Linked DNA regions of Diceros bicornis minor. The main gene of each other region encodes a partner of the protein of the gene in region 2 in a complex. Links are inferred from orthologs where the notes say so. Each region holds a gene or a part of one and is shown on either strand. Other genes may lie near its edges.

Region 1 (8,175 bases), on a different chromosome or scaffold from region 2:
TCTTGTTTTAAAATAAATTTTGTCTGATAGCAATATAGCCACTCCACATCTCTTATGGTTACTGTTTGCATTGATTCCAATTTTTTAGTTTTTTTTTTTGCTGAGGAAGATTAGGCTCCAGCTAACATCTGTTGCCAATCTTCCTCTTTTTTTGCTTGAGGAAGATTAGCCCTGAGTTAACATCTGTGCCAATCTTCCTCCACTTTATATGTGGGTCACCGCCATGGCATGGCTGATGAGTGGAGTACGTCTGCTCCTGGGATCCGAACCTGCAAACCCAGGCTGCTGAAGCGGAGCACACCAAACTTAACCACTATGCCATGGGGCTGGCCCCTCAATTTTTTACTTTCAACTTAGTTGTGTCTTTGAATCTAAGGTGTGTCTCTTACAGGAAGCATATATTTGGGTCTTGCTTTTTTAATCTGGTCTGACAATCTCTGCCTTTTGATTGAAGTGTTTTTTTCCATTTACACTTAATAACTTACATAAAATTATTCATATGGTTGGATTTACATCTGCCATTTTGCTATTGTTGTTTATTTGTCTCATTTCATGTCTTTTTTTGTTCCCCTGTTACTTCTTTACTGCCTTTTATTGTGTTAAATAAATATTTTTTAGCCCACTGTTTTGATTCCTCTGTTGATCTTTAAACTATTTTTTTGAGTTATTCTCTTAGTGGTTGATTTAGGGATTATAATGTGCATCTTAATTATCACAATCTATTTTAGAATAACACTAAATATTTTCTATTTGATGAGTCATTGTTATCCTACTGTTTTTTAATTCTTTAAACATGGTTTCCTTTAGTTCTTTGAATGTATTTATAATAGCTGCTTTGAAGTCTTTGTCTGCTAAAGCCGACATCTGGGGACACACAGAGACAGTTTCTATTGATTGCTTTTTTCCCTGAGGATATTTACATTTCTTTGTTTCTTTGCACATCTCACAATTTTTGTTGACTACTGAAAATTTTAGATAAAATTTGTAGCAACTCTGTATTTCAACTTTTTTTCTTCCTAATGATTGTCGTCCTTGTTACTGTTTTGCTTGGGTGTTTGTTAAGTTACTTCCCGGACTAAATCTGTCGAGTTGGTCTCCTCCACAACGTGCGGTTACTGATGTCTCTGTTCAATTTTTTTTCTCATTTTTATTTCTAAACCTGGCTTCCTAGGGGTCGCCCCTGTATCTGCATAGCTTAATATTCAGCCAAAAATTGGTCAGAGGTTGTGCTCTAACACTTTGAGCTAGTAAGGCTTCTGTTCTCTGCTGGTGAGTGCAGTCAATGTTCAGGTCATTTTCAAGTCTGCCTTGACTCTTAGTTTCTGCCGGACCCCCCTGTGTCTCCTCTGCTCGTCTACACAGGCTCCACTGGCCAGGGATGTGTAAGTGGCCTGGGCTGGTCTAGTCTCTACTACACATGTGCATAAGCCCTGGCCAACCAGAATATGTAGAGAGCTTATCAAGCCCCCTATGGCTGCCTCACTTCCCAGGATTCTAAGCTGTCAGGCCACTGTTGTCCCCAAGTAGGACTGCAACTTTGGACTTCTGGAGCTGCTGGCTCTCCCTGATCTCTTGCCACCAAGACTGCCAGTTTAGCCAACAATGCTCCAAATCAAGTGAGCCCCATCAGACTGGTTTTCATGGGCTACTCGCCCTGGTTGAACTATTATGCAAATAGAACTGGGGGTGGGGAAACTGGAGAAGCCCCAGGTAAGTGCATCACAAACTTAAGGCTCAGAAGTTTTCACGAATAAATGCTCTGTTTGTTGTATGCCTTTGGTTGATTTTCAGAGTGCTAATATAGCGCTAGATAGTTTTGTTCAGCTTCATAGTTGCTTTTTCTTTATTGTGGTAAAATATACATCATATAAAGTTTACCATTGTAACCATTTTAGGTGTACAGTGCAGTGGCATTAACATTACATTCGCATCTTGTGCAACCATCACCACTGTCCATCTCCAGAACTTTCTCATCATCCCAAACTGAAACTCTGTACCCATTAAACACTAACTCTCCATTTCCCCCTCCCCCCAGCCCCTGTCAACCACTATTCTACTTTCTGTCTCTATGACTTTTGTGTCTGGTTTCTTTCACTCAGCATATGTCTTCAAGGTTCATCCATGTTGTAGCATTTATCAGAATTTCATTCCTTTTAAAAGTTGAATAATATACCATTGTACGTATACCACATTTTAGTTATCCATTCATCCATCGATGGACTATAATTGCTTTTTGAGGAAAAGATTTGTCAACCTCCTCATTCCATCATTCTGGAAGTGAATCTCCACAGGTGTCACTTTACATTTATCTGTATATTATTTGACTAATGACTCTCTCCCACATTAGACAAACTCCATGGGGGGGAGAAATAAAGTTTTTTATTGGTTGCTCTACCCTTGCACCCAGTAGTAGGCACTCAGTAAATACTTGTTGAATATATGAATATGTAAGATATGGAATACGATAACTCCCTTGGAATTGTTTTAAGCCAGAAGAGTCAAAGATGGGTGAGTTTTAGAAAAAAATTGCTACTATTAAATGAGCACTTACTATGTTGCTGGGCTCCATGCCAAGCTCTCCATTGCCTTACCTCATTCAGTCCTCACAACAAACCCTTTGTCTTAAGTATGTGCAACAAAATCACATTTTAAGGACAAGGGTGGGAGTTAAACTCTAAAGGCAAAAATTGGTATAATCAAAATGACCTAACTTTAACACTCACTCAAGTGAGATGCCTTTCACTGCACGCTCATGCTAGAATGTCTGGCCGTTGGGTAGAGTGGTAGGGGGCTTATAAACTACCCTCTCACCCCCACCACCTATGTTTGACTTGAAATTAGTTAACTATGATGCGACTCCATCTGACTAGTATCACCCACGTTTTACGGACGAGGAAGCGGGACCATGCAGTGGACACGCGGACGGGCAGGCGAGAGGCAGAGACACCGAAGAGGGTGTCCAGTGGTCCTCGCAGGCGGTCGAGGGGGAGGTCCAGACAGAGGCAGGGGCTGGAGAGCACGGTCCTGGGGCGGGGACAGGATCGCCTTGCGGGCTACGGATTCTTCAGGGAGCCAAAGGATAGCGGGTAGACCCCATTCCACATCTCCCCGTCATCTCTAGCCCTTCCCCACCTGGTCACTCACCTGCTCGCAGAGCTCCTGGTTTCTCTACCCACAGTTACCTCCGCGGTACCTGCGTTGCTAGGTTACCCACCTCGGAAGGCGGGACTCGGCGTCTGACTGACTTTCCTCTTCACCATTCAATTCCTTGTTCCGCCCAGTTAGCCCCACCTCCTGAGGCCTGACCAATCAGGAGCACCGTCTCTCTGACCCTCCACCAATTGAAAGACCCGGGACGCCCTCTGGGTTGGGCCGAACGAGTAAGGCGGGGAGCGCAGAAGGGGAAGGGGCGGGGCTTCTTTGTCCCGCCCCTTTACAAGGAGGCGGGTAGGGAGTCCTGCCTCGGCAGCGGGCGAGAACTGGAGAAGGACGTGAGGCTTGGCCAATCAGAGTTCACCATGGCAGCCTAGGTAGCCAATAGGCCGTGGCGGAGGGGAAATGGGGCGGGGCCGCTGGAGTTGAGGGGACGGTAGGAGGTGGACGCGAGAGCTGGCGCAGCTGCTGTGGTGGCAGCGGCTGAAACGGCGGCGGCTGCAAGAGCTCCGGGCTCGCGGCTTTGGCGGCGGCGGCGGCGCCGGCGGGCTGGGCTGCGCGGTGCGGACCCTGGCGCGCGGTCCGGGTTGCTGGGGCGGCGCGTGTAAGAATCCGAGTGGGACGGGGGCTGGGCTGCCTGAGAGGGCAGGGGTCAGGGGCCAGAGGGCGCGGAGTAAGGGGTTGCGGCTGGGCGCTGGGGTGTGGGAGGCGGGCTGGGCGGGCCCAGAGGGGCTGCGGGGAAGTCATCGCTGGGCTTCTCTCCCTCCAGCCCGGGCCCGGGCTTTGTACCCCCTCTGCTCGCCCCCTGGCTTCCCGGGGCGACCCCCACGCGGGGCCCAGACCGGGGCTGGAGCACGTGGAGCCGGAGCCCGCACTTCTCTCCCCGCTCCTCCTCCCTCGTCTGCTCCTCTTCCTGGCGCCCTCAGGCGACCCAGCCCGCCAGAGACTCGTGCCCCGGTCAGGCTGCTGGCCCTCTTTCCTGGGACGTGTCCCCAGGGGTGACCCTTCCCTTCTGGGTCCTCTAGAGAGCCAGAAGCAAAGCCCGCGGAAGGAACACGGGGCTGGGACTCAGGAGTCCTGCACTGTGTGACCTTGGTCAAGTGGCTTGTCCCCTCTGGGCCTCACTTTTCCCTCTCTGTAACACGATGGGCTTGAATTCAAATTGGGAGCCTGTTCCTGGGAGGCGGTATAGGGTCCAGCCGGGAAAGGTCCCTGAATTCATCTGTTCGGATTCGACTCTGGTCTCCACCACTTCCCTGCTGTTTACCTACAAGAGGCAAGTTGAGTTATCTCCTCCAAGCCTCAGCTTCCTCATCTGTAAAGTGGGGATATTAATGAAATAGGATTTCTGAACAGCAGCACTACTGACGTTCTCAGCCACATGTTTCTGTGTTGTGGTGGGACTCACCTGTGCATTGTAGGATGTTCAGCTGGGTTCCTGGCCTCTCCCTCTAACCCCCCCACCCCCAAGTTGTGACAATCAAAAATGTCTCCATATGTTGCTAGTGTCTCCCAGAGTACAAAATCACCCCAGTTGAGAGCCACAGGGCCAAGACAATGCATACAAGCAGTTATATATTAAACAGTTAAAATGAAAGCCACTAGCCGTTATGATGATAATGATCAGAAACCTCTTCTTGAGTTCAGACGGTTAATAGAGTCTCCTGTCCTCAAAATAAATTCGAGAAAGAATGACAAAGATATTGATAATTGTCAAAGCTGAGTGATGGATACAAAGAAATTCATTTACATATTCTCTCTACTTCTGAGTATGTTTGAAAATACCTGTGGTAGAACGTTAAACCAAGAAAAAAAAAAAAGCCCCAAAACACGTAATTCTTAAGACAGTCTAATGGTAGTGTCTCATTTGGGGTTTCCTCTTCTGTCTCCCCACAACTGAGATTTAAAAGCAGAATAGGTCCCCAGATCTGGAGGAAATGTTAAAAAATCTCACAGGAAGTTTGCGGGGCTGAGAGCTGCAGGCTTAGCAGTAAAGGGAATGGTGCTCACTTTTGCTACCTTGTTTTGAGAGGATGTTGATGCACAGGGGTCTGCTTGGGGTTATTCTGATGATTTGTGGAAGAGGTCAATTTCCAGGTGGCCATTCAGTGGGCGAGTTGGGAGGCAAAGTTGACTAAGCCCAGAAGGGTCCAGCTGGAGGAAGGAATCTGCTGCTGTTTTCAAGGTCAAAGGTCTGCTATCAGATCTGCTGAGTCTTTGCTTTTCTTTTGGCCCTCCTCAGCGGAAATGGGAATGTGTATAAATAGGACCTGTAACTGCCTAGTTCTGAGCGTTTTCAGTTGAGAGTTCAGGATGAGCGCTTTTGCTGTGTGACTCTGGACATCATTTAAAAAAACACTCTTGTTCTCTTCGCCCTCCTCCTCAAACTTCTAAAGATTTTTATTTATTTATTTTTTCCCCCCAAAGCCCCAGTAGATAGTTGTATGTCACAGCTGCACATCCTTCCAGTTGCTGCACGTGGGACGCGGCCTCAGCATGGCCGGAGAAGCGGTGCATCTGTGCGCGCCCGGGATCCGAACCCGGGCCGCCAGCAGTAGAGTGCGCGCACTTAACCGCTAAGCCACGGCCGGCCCTCCTCAAGCTTCTAAATCGAGGAGAATAACACCTGTATGAGAAGGCTGTGGGCGAGCATAGATGACCTGGCACCCTGCCTCTTTACGGGTCATTGGGGCGAGGTGCTGCCTGAACGCCAGGGCTAGGACTTGGAGGAATCCTAGTGTAGTGGCTAGGAGCTCGGGTCTGGAGTCAGATTGCATAGTTCAAAGCCTGACTTTATAGCTGTGGGTTCTTGGGCAAGTTACTTAACTTCTCTGAGCCTAAAGTCTCCTCCCCCTCTGTAATGGAGGATAATAATCCTACCTGTCTATTAATAAAGTTTCAATCAGCTTTACTTAAAAATTGCTGTAAGAATACCTGGTACACAGTAAGTGCTCACTGAGTATTAGCTACTATTATTTTAACAGTTGTATTTTTTTAAGTCTCAAATCTTTACAAAACTCAAAACACCAGTGTAAGGTGGGTGGAGGGGGAACATAGCCAGAATCTGAAGCTCCAGACATAATTACCCCTAACTTTCAGATTTTGTTCGTGCAGAGTTTTTCCCCATATTTTAATGCTATTGTATTGCAATATTTTTCTTTATTTTTTTGAGATATAATTCACATATCATAAAATCCACCATTTTAAAGGGTGCAATTCAGTGGTCTTTAGTATATTCACAAGGTTATGCAACCATTGCCACCATCTAATTCCAGAACATTTTCATCAGTAGTGGTTGTATTCTGATAATTGTCTCTCTTTCTTTTTCATCTGTATCTCTCTCTTTATCCCTGTCTATCTTTTATTGTCTAGAAGATGTCTCTAATGGAGGAGTTTCTGAGAAGCACCTCTGGGCCAGTGGCTTTGAAAGGGAGCTCCAAGCAGAGGCTGTTTGAAGCCCTGGACATCGCATCCTGAGGGCTGTAGGAGAAGAGAGCATATGGCTGTGAGTTTGGATGACGACGTGCCCCTCATCCTGACCCTGGACGAGGGTGGCAGTGCCCCACTGGCTCCGTCCAACAGCCTGGGCCGAGAGGAGCTGCCCAGCAGAAGTAAGACGTGGGGTGGGCTGGTGGGGGGCAACTTTTCTATTTCAAGGGGCGAGTTGTGGGCGTGGTGGTCTGATAGTAGATGTGTGTACCCTAATTCCTGACCCCACATTTGGCTCCAGGTTCTCACAAACTACTGGGAGACTGTGGGGTCCTAATCCCAGCTTCTGGATGCTTCCGGGGGCTGCTCTGCCCTCCCGGGGCCCTCGCTCCCATCAGCGCCTTGCCTCCCTGGCACCTGAGTACCCTGGCTTTGTTCGGGGATGCTTGGCGGGGACTTCAGGTTAACCTGCTCCCAGGCTAGGTTCCTTGCCCAGGAACTTCCCTGCCCAGTTCCTTGTTAAAAAAGGAAACCGATTTCAACACCCGCCTCCGTCTGCCCCAACCTGAAACCGTTGGCAGGAGAGTGGAGTTGACTGCTGCTTTCCGTTGGAGCTTGGTGCCTGCGTTGCCAGAATGGGGTGGAAAGGGGCAAGCCTTTGCCAGGATCCATTGATTTGAGGGTTTGGGGTTTTGCTTTGTCTTCCTCTAAACCAAAGCCTAGCACAAAGGGAACCCAAGAGAGGTTGCGAGCTTTAAATTTTTAAAATTTTAAATGTGTTGCTGGCAGAACGAGAGGCCTTAAAAACCTTTCTGGTCTTTGTCCCGAAGCGGTTTGCTTCATTTGCTCAGGCCTTGGGCCCAGGAGAGGCTTAAAATAACTTGCCCTTTGTGGAGGGTCCTAAGATGGCAGGGACTGGCGCTTTGTGGTCTTCTTAGCCAATGGGTGTTCCACCCGCCCTGTGCTCCGGAGCTAGGACAGAGGGGTATTGCCCTCCTCCAGTTCACAAGTGAAGACACTGGGTGTGGGGAAAGACGAGCCTGGCTCTGCCGTCTCCTTTGTCCGGAGAGAACGCAGTTGGGTACCGGAGCTCAGCAGCCTCCCCTCAGAAGTGATGAAGGAGGGCAGTGTTCCTGTAGATGGGAGTGCCGCGGGCGGCCTGGCTCCCTGTAGCCTGGCCTCTCCGCTGCCGTTCACCCTGTCTAGGGCGGCAGAGCTGGTGGTCCAGGAAGGTTAGAATGTAAACCAGATTTTTCTCTAAGCACCATTCAGGGCTGAGAAACCGGTGGCTCTGATTTCAGGCACACTTCTTAAATGCCCTAGAGCTCTCAAGCTAAGTGATAGGCTCTTTCTCATCTGTTACCTTCACTAAGATCCTTTTCAAAGTAGGCGGTATTATCCCTATTTTACAGAGGAGGATACTAAGTCAGAGAGGTTAAGAAACTTGCCCAAGGTCACACAGCCAAGCACGTGGTTGAGCAGAGATTTGAACCCAGGTCTGTCTGACTCCAAAGTTCCTTCCCTTCCTCCTCCTCCCTTTTTTCCTCTCCTCTCCTCTCCTCCCTCTCCTTTTCCCGCTTCTCCTTTTTGCTC
Region 2 (7,759 bases):
GCTTGAGCTGGGGAGGAACTGGGGGACCGTGGACTGGCCAGGCACGTGGTTAAGCAGAGAGAGCAAGAGAGGGATGAGGCAGACAGAGAGAAGCAGAGATGGGATCCAGTAAAAAAAAAGACAAAAAGACAGACAGACTGACATAGAGACTGCCTTCTCCTTGCTAGCTTTCTGGCCCCTAATGTCCCTAATTCCAGGACCTGTGAGGGCTTCTTCCTCTCCTGTGAGAGTGTCCTGACTTCTCGCATTAAATCTTCTTTTACTTAAACTAACTCCAGTAGGTTTCTGTCGCTAACGGTCCAAGGGGATTTGGCTGAAATACCACAGGCAAAGGGGAAATCTGTGGACTTGTTCACTCACACTGTGAGGCTGACACTGGGCTGCTATTCCTGGCTGGACAAAGCCACAGCCCTGGGAAGCTGGGGTGCCTGACATCATTCTCATCACTAACCCTCTTAATGAGAACATCCAGAAGCGCTGGATGCTGCAGGAAGGCACCCTCTCCTATCAGTCTACTGGAAACTTCCAGATTCTGCCTCCTACACCCTGTGGAAACTAGGTCCTCCCTTCTGCTTTCCACCTCTGCTTCTCACTTCCCTGCCGGCTTCACCTTCTACCTTTGTCCAGGTGCATCCCCAATATCCTGGCCTCCCTGAACCTCCTGCCTTCTGGTCCCTGATGCTGGGCAGCCCCTGTGTTCTGCTCTTTATTCTACTGAGCGCTGTTGGAGAGACTCCTGGCGGTGGACTGATGGTGTCCACCGCAAACCCAGGTGGGCCTGGCAATCCTGCCACCTGGTCTTAGAGACTGCCACTGCCTGGCTGCCCTCCCTCCCTCCTCCCCCACCATCCACTTGGATGCAGCTTATGCACATATGCATCTTTCATTTCTGGACTGTCCACAATCAAATGTCCTAGTGCCTTTAACTCTTATGTGTCCTTTCTTTCTGTCCCCAGAGGAGGCACAGCCTCTCCTACCCACTACCTACACCCTCCTCCCTCCCCCCACACCCCTTTTCCACTTGTGCCTTCCATCTTCCCATTCTCTCCAATCTGTCAACACTGGCTCTATCTCCTTAGGGTGATTGATTCACCTCCTGAAGATGTTTCCAGTCCTCTGCCTCTCTCCATCTCCCTACTCTTCTGAAACAAATTTTTCCAAGATTTCCCATAGCTTGCCTTTGGGGAAATTTTACTGTGCTGCATTTGGCAGATGTTACCTGCAAAGTGTTTGTGTTTTTTTAAAGAAAGGTGCTGCACTTTGGGAAATGATTCTAAATTCTGATTTCAAAACTTTGACTTCTCATCCCTCCCACGTCGTCAAGGCCTGGCACCTGTGACAGATCAAGCTTGCCTTCAGTCAAGCCCGACAATGGCTATGCAACATGGAACAGCTGTTATGCACACAAGGGCAGGATTTGGATCCTGACTGTGCATCCTTTGGCAACTCACTTCACCTGTCTAAGCCCTCGATTTCCCATCTGTAAAAGATGAATAATTCCTCCTTCCTACATTTGTTTAAGATCATTTATTTAGTCCACACACGTAATGAATAGCTACTACATACTATGAATAAAACAGACAGATCTCCTTACCTCTGTTTCAGACATGAATCAGATAATCAAAGAAATGTTTAATTACAAACAGTGACAAGTTTGTAGGTGTAGGGAACTCTGACAGCATACATTAGGGGCACCTGGCCTGGCCGGAGGAGATGGGGCTGAGATCTGAAGGAGGAGTGGAAAGAAGAAAGGGAATCGCATAGTGAGGGCCCTGAGGTGGGAGAGAACAAGACATGTTCCACTTTGGCTGAAGCAACGCAAGGTTGAAAAGGTCGACAGGAGTTCAATTATTATCCTGGGACCCCTGGGAAGCTCCTGGGCCTTAATAAGAGCAGTGGCATGATCAGATTTTAATTTTAAGAAGCTCTCTCTGGCTGTAGTACTGAGAATGGCAAGAGTCGTGACGTGAGAGATGCCCAGGGTGGTTGGTGGTAAGATGTGGATTTGAGAGATCTCTAGGAACTTAATTTACATGCGGGACTGATCATCTGCAGTTTTCAGATAAGAAAATGGAAGCTAGTTAGAAAGGTTAAGTAACATGCACAAGTTTACACATGTATACGGCAGAGGCAGGAGAACATGACTCCAGAGCCCAATTTCTTAACCATGACTCAACTGTACCCAGGGTACTGTGGACTGTCACTGTCACAGCTCTAACATTGTCACAATGTTTCTCACAGCTGTTCTGGGTCAGGGCCAAGGCCCGAATTCTCTTCCCTTAAGAGGATTTTATCAGTAATTTACCACCCAATCTGGGTTCCTGTTGACTTGCCTGAGGACAGTGTTGTCACTGTAGATCAGAGGTTGGAGACGGGGAAGGCAGTGGAGAGTTTTACATCACTGTCAGTGGAGTAGCCTCCTCAGGAGAAACAGATCCAGAATTGTCCTGGGAAACAACCTGGGATTAATTGGATCTGAAAAATATAGCCCCTATTGGCGATGAATTAATAAGAAGAAAATCAACCATTTACTGAGTGCTTACTGGGTACTAAGTGCACATGTGTCATTTAATTACCTGTCAGCTCCGGACGCCATCAGAGAAGGGAGTCCTAATGCCCTAACTTCCCAGATGGGGAAACTGAGACCTGGAAGGGAAAGGAAATTGTCCACAGTCATACAAGGAACTACTGACAAGAGACAGACATGGAACTTGAGTATCCATATTCCCACCCAAAGCACTTTATACAGCACCAAGATGAAGAATAAAAATAAGAGAAATAATTTAACGACAGTTAAGAGGTCGGATATGAGGATTAAATTCTTGAAGAAGTTATCAGTGGATCTTTCTTTCGGGTACCTTTGTTTCTACGAAAGGGATCAGGCCAGGAGGCTGGGAGATGGAACCCCTTAAACATCTCTTCGAGCCCTGCTCCCCAAGGAAATGCTTCCTTAGCCTTTTTTTCTCATCCGCAGGCCTGAAAGCCCGGGTACTAGCGTTCTGACTGTCTCAGCGCCGCTGCAAAGTGGCTGGCAGGGGATCTGTGTGCTCATTTTGCAGATGATAAGGGCCGGCCGCACTTCTCGGAGTAAAAGGTCAGAGAATTACGTCGGGGCGCTGTCTGCCCCTGCGAGTCCTCCCGGAACCTCAGCTTCGGATCTCACCTTCTCAAGCGCGGGCTACCGGGCTGGTTCCACGCAGCAGCCACTTTGCCCGGTTGCTAGGGAAACCAAGCGCCACCACTCCGTTGCTAACGGGAAGTCAGAAGATTGACATCCTGAGTGAAAGTTGAGGGGGCACGTGACCACGTTTCTGGGCGGGGGAATACTCCTGCCACCAACCAGCCGGAGAGAAAACAAATGTTTCTCCAATCAGCACTTTCTACGGGCGGGGATATACTTAGCCCCGCCTCTTCCCCGCCCCCTATTTGAGTGATTGACTCGTCTGTTCTCCAATAATCATAAGGATTCCCTAGCTTGACCAATATATAAAGGAATCAAAGCGCACAAACTCTCGTTCGGAGGCGGGCCAGGGGCGGTGTCACTACGCCTGAGGGAGGTTCCTGTGACTGAGCTCACTCCTCCGCCCAATCGGACAGCGCGGGGTAGGTGGGGCTTCGCTCGGGAAGCCGTAGGGCCCAATCGGAGGAGGGCAGGGCAGGCGTTGCCCAATAGGGACGCGACAAGGGGGCGGGGTCAGGGGCCGCGCGTTCGGCGCTCTAGAGGGTGGGGCGGGGGCAAGTGTCAGTCAGGTCGGGAGCGCGGCGGGGTACAGCGGAGACCAGCCGGCTAACAGGGCTCTGGACGGCTGCCGTGCTGACCGCTCAAGATGGAGTTCCTCCTGGGCAACCCGTTCAGCACCCCGGTGGGGCAGTGCCTCGGTAAGGCCGCGCGAAGGGAGGGCGTCTGGTTGGGCGACGGCGGCGGCTGACAGGGCCGGAGAGGACCACGGGCCTCTGCGGGCACCGGGGCCACCTCCTGGTCGCCGGGCCCCTGCCCGCGGGCGGGCCGGGCCTGCTCACGGCGTCGGTGCCACCCTGCCAGGCGGCGCCCCGAGGCCAGCTGGGACTTGGAGATGCTCCGCGCGGCCCTCCCCCTCGGGGCCCGGCTCCCCCCGGCTCCTGGAGGTGGTGCCCGCGCTGTCGGCCTACCCCGCGCCTCCTGGGAGATGCCACTGCGTGCGCCCTTGTCCAGCCCGACAGTCTCGCTGCCACTGCCGCCGGGACCCGGTTCTCCCAGACGCCTCTCCCTGCATCCCTGCTCCTCCTTTTCAGACCAGCAGCCCGCGGACTGGGCACCCTCCCAGAGAACGCTCCCTGCCCTGAGACTTGCTAATTAGAGCTGCAACTCGGCTAGGCTAGGCCGTAGGAGGGACTGGGAAGGGGGAGGGGTTCCTAGAGGGTGACGATCTTGGCAGGGGGGCTGGCATGCCTGCACTGCCTCCGGGAAGAAGGGGGGCCGTGCTATTCAATGATAAGAGCCCTGGACTGGGAATCAGGAAGCCTGGGCTCCAGTGGAGCCTTTGCCAGTTATCCTCCCTATGACCTTGCCCTTTCTGGCTTCACGTTTTTCCTGTCTGTCAAATGAGGTGTTTGGAGGTGAGATGTGGTAGGTCCCTTCAAATGCTCAAGTTTTGATAGTCCTTGTAGCAACCTCTGCACATTGACTGTTGCTTTCTTGCTACATTAAATTTGCCAAAGATGAAATCTTTTGGTGGCAGTGTAGAGAGAGGGGTACTTGGCAGTACCTGTTAATCCTATAGGGGGCTCTGGGTCCCCGGAAGAGGGCACCAGAGATGACCAGTATCCTGGGTAAGGAAAGCCCAAGGCTAGTGAAGGGACACCTGTGTGGCCACCATATGAGATTTCCTTACTGAAAAAGCAACTTGCCTTTTCACCCAAGGCAGGAGCTTATGCCAAGTGCTCAGTCAAGAACGTTGATTAGTTTCTTTTAAAACTGAGTTCCTCCTGGTTTGTGGAGGGGCTGGTAAAAGGTCTTTTATCAGCAGGGAGCTTTGGTGTCCTTATGGGCCTGGCTGGTTTGGGCAGAAGTGACTTGTTTATTTTCTGCTTTACTTATGAATTTCCAGCTTATGTTTCAGCCTTGAGTGGGGCCTGTGAAATTACTGAGGTCTCTTCTGTTGGCTAGCTGGCATTTGGGAGCCTTTCTTTTCTCTGTGGTGAAACGTCTTTGGTAAGGGATGGTGGACACTGGGCTTGGGAAGAGTCTTTTCCCATCTCTGTGGACTACCTCCCGTGTTCCTCTAGGTTTTCACGCCCCTTTCTTCCTCATTTCCTTTCCTCAGGTGTTCGTTCACTGCAGCCATACTCCAAAAACTAATTTCTCAGTTGGGTGTTGAATTCCAACCAGTTTTTGGAGGGAGCCAGTAAGCTTGGGGGATTTTTTTTTTCTTTTCTGTCTCTTTTACAGTAGGAAGCTCTACACCTTTGAAATGCCAAGGTATTTGATGAGGGGTAGAAGTTAAAGGGGATTTAAAAATATACAAATATAAGGGATGTAGGGGAATGTAGTGAATGGAAAGAGCATGATGCTTCTGTCAGGAAGACCTGAGTTGAATCTTACCTTGTCCATTTGTTGGCTGTGTGACCCCAGAAGATTGTGTAACCCTTCTGAGCCTTAGTTTGCTGAGAGAGAGAGGTTGATAGGTACTCACAGAGTAGTGCGGCTTAAGTGAGATGATGCGTGTCAACTCTTACCACAGTGCCTGGAACACAGCTGAGGCTCAGTGAACTGGGGCTGTCACTGCTCACACAGAATCATGAAGTTAGGGCTGGATTTTCTCCCTGGAGAGGATATGAGGGACAGCTGGCCTGTCTGTGACCTGTGAAGGAAAATACCCTTCCAGGCCCCAGCATCCACCATCCCTTATAACAGACACTGGACCACAAAGGGAATGAAGCCTCCTCATTGCCACTTAGTCAGCAGGCAAGGCCTAGGTCATTTCACAGTCAGTTCAGTTCTGATCAATGATTAGAGGACAGAATGAGGTACTAATGTCTATTCTGTACTGTTGTGACAAAGTGTAAAAGTGGCTTTCTTGACATGTAGTATTGTTAGTATTCTTTTAAAAGTATGTGCTGGGGGTTGATGGGAGGGAGGGGCATACAGAAATAAAACAACCGCAGAGCTAATGATGAAATGCAGCAGTGATAGCTTACACACAGCAGTTCTACAGCCATTGTTTGCTCCTTACAGCTGCTCTGTGAAGTGGGTTTTATTGTCCTTCTCACTTTAGAGATGAGGAATCTGAGGCTCAAGGAGTGAAGGGATGGCTCAGCTGGTAAGAGGGAGAGCTGGGATTTCACAACTGTCCCGGTCCTCAAGGGCTTTCTGGTGTCAGGGGAGAGAAGAGAGGTGTATGGAACAATGACGACTAACAGAAGGCCACTCCGTAGCTCAGTGCTCAGTCGAGTGGTGGGGACTGTCAGTGCTGTTTGGAGTCCAAAGGAATTCAGAAGAGCCGGGGGGGTGGGATTGGCTTCCTTGAGTCCAAGGGCTGTTCATGAGGATGGGTGTGACTTCTCCAGTGAGAGAAGGAGACATCTATGCCTGGGGACAGGTAAAGGAGGCAGGAAGGGTGTGGGCACGTCTGTGAGCGCCAGTCTGAGGGGAACAGAGGTGGCTGTGGGCAACAGTGGCAGGTACGCTTTTGGCCCAGGGTGAAGCCCTGTTCTGGCTGGGTGACATCAAAGACGAGATTCTTTAGCTGACTTCAGCTTTTACTCTCCCTGAACCTTATTTTCCTCAAAAAAGAATACCTCTCAACAGCTGCACAGGGCTTGGACCTAAATAATTCCATCAGTCCAATTCAGGAGGCGTTTTGAGTGCCTGTGGAGTGCCAGGCTCTGGCATACAGATATTAAAGAGTTGCTGTCAGGGAGCCTTCAGCAGAGGTATCACGTCACCAAAGGTATCCTGGAGCTGCAAAGCAGTAGGCTCCTAGTCTGAGTGTCAGTAGAGTAATTGTTACTTTGTCTCCTGCCTGGGCCTCACAGGCACATTCTGACTTGGTGCTGTTTGCTCAAAGACACAGTCTGCCCTCTTGAGCTAGCAGCTAAGCCCACAGTCTGACTTGGTCATCTGTGCAATTCTCACGTCAGCCCTGCCCCGGAAGGTGGCTCCTGAGTAGGATGCGTCGTTCCGGACAGAGCTGCAGTGGTGTACGAGCCTAAGGAGTGTGGAGAAAGAAAAAGCACTTACTTTTATTTCCTGATTTTTCTCTCCTGAAACAAGTTTCAGAACGTTACTGTCTTGTCTCAGCCCTGCACGACCGCTGGGATTTGGATGACCGCTGGCGTTGGATTCACACGTCAGGAGTTCCCTGAGTCAGGGCCATGGTGCTCTGCAGGTGTCTGCGGTTTTCCTTGTGGTGGCTGGAAAACACTTTCAGATAATCCTTTTCCAAGAGTCAAGTTTGGGTTCATTTAGGTTAAAGGATCAGAGAGTAGCTAGTTAACTCTGAACAGAATATTGGGGGTGGGCAGGGAAGATCATTTATTCTCTTCGTGGTTCTGCTTTAATAAACGTGTAAGCAGCAGATATTCTGTTGTGGGTTTGTGTTTGCAGATTGGATGGTGTTGGACGTAAACTGCTTCCTAGTGCCCTGTGAATGCTAGCGTTTGACTCTAGTGTGGCTGTTTGTACCAAGGCTGATTAGTCGTCCCTCAGATTGCTATGGCAGTTGGCAATTCACAAAGCCCTTTTGCTTCAATCTTTTTATTTAGTCTTTACAACCCTGTG

Evidence for each region.
Region 1: DRC3 (region 2) and IQCD share a complex: the UniProt entries of both Homo sapiens proteins name them as parts of the nexin-dynein regulatory complex. The link is inferred for Diceros bicornis minor from reciprocal best matches to the Homo sapiens genes DRC3 and DRC10.

What each region holds. Positions count from the first base shown.
Region 1 is NC_080774.1:11,197,910-11,206,084, forward strand, and holds the start of IQCD (dynein regulatory complex protein 10), read right to left. Parts: upstream 3,204-8,175; 5' UTR 3,145-3,203; intron 1-3,144. Other genes in the region: TPCN1 (two pore channel protein 1), read left to right, coding at 6,653-6,764. UniProt on the Homo sapiens protein: Component of the nexin-dynein regulatory complex (N-DRC), a key regulator of ciliary/flagellar motility which maintains the alignment and integrity of the distal axoneme and regulates microtubule sliding in motile axonemes.
Region 2 is NC_080757.1:1,376,869-1,384,627, reverse strand, and holds the start of DRC3 (dynein regulatory complex subunit 3), read right to left. Parts: upstream 3,115-7,759; 5' UTR 2,859-3,114; intron 2,647-2,858; 5' UTR 2,577-2,646; intron 2,448-2,576; 5' UTR 2,334-2,447; intron 1-2,333. Other genes in the region: TOM1L2 (TOM1-like protein 2), read left to right, coding at 3,828-3,879. UniProt on the Homo sapiens protein: Component of the nexin-dynein regulatory complex (N-DRC) a key regulator of ciliary/flagellar motility which maintains the alignment and integrity of the distal axoneme and regulates microtubule sliding in motile axonemes.